Linked DNA regions of Kluyveromyces lactis. The protein of the gene in region 1 purifies or fractionates together with the protein of each later gene. This does not show direct contact. Links are inferred from orthologs where the notes say so. Each region holds a gene or a part of one and is shown in the gene's direction. Other genes may lie near its edges.

Region 1 (2,964 bases):
TTTTAGAACTATTCAGAACTGCTGGTGGGTTTCCTGATCAAGTAAACTATATTTTTCTTGGTGACTATGTAGATCGTGGTTATTACAGTTTGGAGACGTTCACACTTCTTATGTGTTTGAAAGTGAAATATCCTTCCAGAATTACTTTGGTTAGAGGAAATCATGAGTCGAGGCAAATTACACAAGTTTATGGGTTTTATGAGGAATGTTTAAATAAGTATGGTTCCACAACGGTTTGGAAGTATTGTTGTCAAGTGTTTGATTTCTTAACTTTGGCAGCTATTATTGACGGGAAAATTTTATGTGTGCATGGTGGTTTGTCTCCCGAGATTAGAATGCTTGATCAGATCAGAGTTCTATCGAGAGCCCAAGAAGTTCCTCATGAAGGTGGCTTCTCCGATTTGTTATGGAGTGACCCCGACAACGTGGAAGCATGGCAAGTCTCACCTCGTGGTGCCGGATGGTTGTTCGGTAGCAAAGTCTCACGAGAATTTAATCATGTGAATGGCCTAAGCCTAATCGCAAGAGCTCACCAGCTAGTTATGGAAGGATTCAAATACCATTTTCCGGAGAAGGATGTTGTAACGGTATGGTCTGCACCTAATTATTGTTATCGATGTGGTAATGTGGCGAGTGTCATGAAAGTCGAAGATGATTTAGATCCAACATTCAAAATTTTTTCCGCTGTACCTGACGATTACATCCAAGAAACAAACAATAATAACCAAAGAGGTGGATATTTCTTATAGAGCGACATTGCAGCGGCCTTTTTGTCTGTATAATCTTCTATGCGAACTTACATCGGACTAAACATTCTTTTTCTCCTTCTATTTGAGAATTCCTTCTTAATATACTGTACACTAGAAATCAAACATTTACCTAACTTTTACGAATTCAAAGATATCCATCAGGAATTAGGATTTAATTGGAAAGTGGACTATAAACAACGTAATTTTTAATGGGTTGAAATCATTACTGAGAAACCAACCCCCCTGAAACTTAAATAGTCTAAAACCCGGTAATATATATAGATATATGTATTAATGATAACGTTTAAACTGCCATTATGTCTTTCACGAGGCTTCACAGAGTCCTGATCTAATCCAAACTAGATCATCGAATATATTCAATTTGATATGGAATCATATATAGAATATCGTGTGTAGAATAGGTTTTTTTTTTTCTTACCAGTATCTCTTCAGCTCCAAAGCTGCATTGAAATATTTAAAATTTCAAGAGCATTTTATACAAAAAATGTAGCCATATGATTGCACTTATAACTTTCATAAATGATGTGATACCAACAAAACGCAGCATTTTGGTTACTCACATCGGGAATAAACGGTTTAACAATAACAAGGATTGCTAATACAGTATCAACTATAAATTGTAATGTTACGCAGCATTGTTCGCGTCCCTAGTATTACTTTTGCTTCTAAAGAAGCAATGAGACCAGTGCTAAGGAAAACTACCTTGGCCCATTTTATGAATCATTACAGATCGTTATCCGTATCTGCAACCAAGTTACAAGAGATTAAGAAATATGACCCTGCCCCTGCAGTAGGTAGTCCAAAACCTAAGAAGAAGCCATTAAGTAGGATACCCATTGGCGGTGCTGAAACTCATACCCAAAAAGTTGATACAGGTTCTACCATCGAATTTACTACCTGGAAAGCAGCAGCTTTGTTCATTCTTATCGGAGGCGGGGTGTACTATTTCTTTAAAAATGAGAAGCAAAGATTAGAGACCGAGAAGGAGGCGGAAGCTAACAGAGGTTACGGTAGGCCATTGGTCGGAGGTCCCTTTAGTTTGATTGATTTTAATGGGAATCCATTTACAGAGAAAGACTTGCTAGGCAAGTTCTCTATCATCTATTTTGGTTTCAGTCATTGTCCAGATATTTGTCCAGATGAGTTAGATAAGTTAGGAGCATGGTTAACTGAGTTAAAGAAGCGTGACATCAATTTGCAACCTGTTTTCATTACTTGTGACCCGGCTAGAGATCCACCAGAAGTCTTGAAAGAATACCTAAGCGAGTTCCACCCTGACATTATCGGTTTAACTGGTGACTATGATGCCGTGAAGAATGCTTGCAAAAAATACAGAGTCTATTTCTCTACTCCACCAAACGTCAAACCTGGCCAGGATTATTTAGTTGATCATTCCATTTTCTTCTACTTGATGGACCCAGAAGGTCAATTCATTGATGCCCTAGGTAGAAACTATGACGAACAGACTGGTGTTGAAAAAATCGTCGAACATGTATCTGCTTATGTTCCAAAGGAAGAACGTGAAAAGAGAAAGGACAAATGGTATTCCTTCTTGTTTTAAACACATTTATCTTGCTTTCTTGTAAATAAATAAAGCGTGTTTCGCAACTTCATGTAAGCTCAGTATTTAACATTAACACATCAAATATACGTTTTCAGTAGGGTATTTTCATTCTTGAATTACGGACGTTACGTTAGCCATATAACGATGAGGCATGAAATTTATATATGAGAATTATGGACTGAAATTAACAACTAAAAAAGAGAAGTGGGGGCCTCATTGTTCGTGAGCAATATGCAAGCAATGTCAACCCTTGTAATATGACGGGTCCTATAATTGTGATGTTCTCTCAATTCTTACCGGCACCGGCTCTGAAGTAGATGATATCACCGTCTTCAACAACGTATTCCTTACCCTTCTGTTGCAATTTACCTGCGGCCTTAATGGCATTGTCATCTTTGTATTCGACCACATCTTCGTATTTCATAACTTGAGCTAAGATGAAAGTGTTCATTAAATCATTGTGAATGACACCTGCAGCTTGGGGAGCTTTAGTTCCTCTTCTAATAGTCCATTCTCTAACTTCATCTGGACCACAAGTGAAGAAGGAGATCAAATCCAACTTTTCTCTCATGGTGGTAACGATCTTTGGTAGAGCAGATTGAACGCCTAGGTTCTTTAGTTCTTCTTCAG
Region 2 (3,010 bases), on another chromosome or scaffold:
AATTAAAAATTTAATGAATAATATGCCTAAATTAAATGATAAATTAATTAGTCAAACATATATTAATAATATTAATAATATTATGTTTAATAAATATAATAATATTATTAAATCAATTAATAATAATAATAATAATAACCCCGCGGACTCCTCTCCTGGTAATCCCAGGGGAGGAGCCGCGGGGAAATTATATAATATTATTTATGAAAATAATAATATTAATACTATCCCTAATAATATTTTAATGTTTAAATATTTAGTAGGATGATCAATTCAATTAAAAGGTAGATTATCTAATAATAAATCTATTTCTAGATCTAATACAATGAATATTTTAAATGGTACATTCCAAAACTATAAATATATTTGAGGTAATCAAATGGTTAATAATTATAAATTAAATTATATCCCTGTTAACCATAATATTACTAATATTTCTGATGTTAATAAAAATGGTAAATATAATATTAAAGTTAAATTAAATACTATTTAATTTATTAATTAATAATAATAAATAAATAATCAATATTCTTCCCCCACGCGGCATTACCCTAGGGTAATGCCGCGTGGGGCTTCTTTCTTTATATTATAATTATATAATTATATAATATATAATAAATTAATATATACATATAATCCCCCCTTCATATTATATGAAGGGGGGGGTAAAAATATAAATATTTTATAATATATAATAAATTAATATATATCTTTCCCGCGTTCTCCTTACTATTTCCTTAAGGACCTCTAAATACTAATAAAAATTAATTTTATATTATTAATTTTATATATAAATAAATATATAATATACATTTTCCCGCGGGGTATAATACTTATTATTAGTATTAATAATTTATTTATTTATTTATTTATTTATTTATTAATTTATTTATAATACTTTTCCCGCGGACTTATTCCCTGGAATTCCAGGGAATAAGCCGCGGGGTGTATAAATAATTTTATATACTCTTCTCCCGGGGACTCCTTCCCATAAGGTGTATACCTGGGAAGAGTCCCCGGAGTTAATATAATTAATAAACCCCACCCCCTTTAAGGGGGGTGGGGAGGAATACGCAATTGGGGGAATTTATAATAATTATTATATAATATTATTATATAGATATAAGTAAGTATAATATTATTATAATAATAATAATAGAGATTAGCTTAATTGGCAGAGCATTCGTTTTACACGCGAAGGACATGAGTTCAAATCTCGTATCTCTAATATATATTAAATATATCAATTAAAATATAAAAATTTAATAATAATATATCAATATACTTATTTAATATTATTATAATTATTTATAATAATTTATTATTAATAAGTTTTTTTCCTAATTGCGAACTCATCAAAACATTAGTTGGATGAGTTCGCGGGAGAATAATATATTAATCAATGTAATATCTAATATATAGAATATATATAGATTAAAAAAAATTATAAATATGTTTTATTTATTAAATTCAATTATTATGAATGATGTACCTACACCTTATGGTATGTATTTCCAAGATTCAGCTACACCTAATCAAGAAGGTATTTTAGAATTACATGATAATATTATGTTCTATTTATTTATTATTTTAGGATTAGTATCATGATTATTATTTACAATTGTAAGAACTTATAGTAAAAATCCTATTGCTTATAAATATATTAAACATGGTCAAACTATTGAAATTATTTGAACAATTTTCCCTGCTGTAATTTTATTAATTATTGCTTTCCCTTCATTCATTTTATTATATTTATGTGATGAAGTTATTTCTCCAGCAATGACTATTAAAGCTATTGGTTTACAATGATATTGAAAATATGAATACTCAGATTTCATTAATGATAATGGTGAAACAGTAGAATTTGAATCATATGTTATTCCTGAAGATTTATTAGAAGATGGTCAATTAAGATTATTAGATACTGATACTTCAGTAGTAGTACCTGTTGATACACATATTAGATTTGTTGTTACAGCAGCTGATGTTATTCATGATTTTGCTGTACCTAGTTTAGGTATTAAAATTGATGCAGCTCCTGGTAGATTAAATCAAGTATCAGCTTTAATTCAAAGAGAAGGTGTATTCTATGGACAATGTTCAGAAATTTGTGGACAATCACATTCAGCTATGCCTATTAAAATTGAAGCAGTTTCATTACCAGCATTCTTAGAATGATTAAATGAACAATAATTATATAATTTATAATTAATAAATTATATATAATAATATTCTTTCCCTGCAAACCCTACAATATTATTAGGGGTTTCCCCACGGTCACCTTCCCGACCCACAAGGAGACGGGGATTCTTACTTATTTTATATCCCGCGGATTCATGTTATGAATCCGCGGAATTATTATATTATATTATATTATATTATATTATATTTTTAAATATAATAATAATTATATATAAATAAGAGTATAAAAATAATTTATTGATCTCATGCTATACTCCCCCCCCTTCCTGTCGCACACGATTGGTGCGCAGATATTGAAGGGGGGGAGTAGGGAGTAATAAATTTAGGATAACCATTATTATAATAATTAATTATTATAATAATATTTTTCCCCCGCGGTCTCTCACCCTACGAATGTAGGGTGATGAGCCGCGGGGTAATTCTTATTTATTATATATTATAATATTAATAATAAACCCCCGCGGACTCCTTTAAAGGAGTCCGCGGGAAAAGTATTATCCGCGCCTCATCCATTATAAAGGATGAGGCGCGGATTAATATACATATATATATTTTAATATAATTATATATTATATTTATTTATAATATTATTATTTATTATATAAAATAATACTAATGAGGGGGGCTTATTTCCCACCATATGGTGGGAAATAAGCCCTACCTAATATATTTATTTATTTTTTATTATTAATATAATTAGAATAATATTTTTCTTTAAGAGGCTTATTATATATTAATAGAATAATTATTCCGACTATTCACATAATATCTATTAAATTAATTAATATAACCCCCGCGGTTCCTC

The links.
Region 2: the proteins of KLLA0_D03630g (region 1) and COX2 purify together in Saccharomyces cerevisiae (affinity purification with western blotting; 3 studies listed by BioGRID, with this or other methods). This does not show direct contact. The link is inferred for Kluyveromyces lactis from reciprocal best matches to the Saccharomyces cerevisiae genes SCO1 and COX2.

The regions. Positions count from the first base shown.
Region 1 is NC_006040.1:312,028-314,991, reverse strand, and holds KLLA0_D03630g (SCO family protein), read left to right. Parts: upstream 1-1,392; coding exon 1,393-2,331; downstream 2,332-2,964. Other genes in the region: type 2A-related serine/threonine-protein phosphatase SIT4, read left to right, coding at 1-749; OLA1 (Obg-like ATPase), read right to left, coding at 2,621-2,964. UniProt on the Saccharomyces cerevisiae protein: Required for the accumulation of subunits 1 and 2 of cytochrome c oxidase complex. Thought to play a role in either mitochondrial copper transport or insertion of copper into the active site of COX.
Region 2 is NC_006077.1:34,122-37,131, reverse strand, and holds COX2 (cytochrome c oxidase subunit 2), read left to right. Parts: upstream 1-1,425; coding exon 1,426-2,196; downstream 2,197-3,010. Other genes in the region: VAR1 (ribosomal small subunit protein), read left to right, coding at 1-493. UniProt on the Saccharomyces cerevisiae protein: Component of the cytochrome c oxidase, the last enzyme in the mitochondrial electron transport chain which drives oxidative phosphorylation.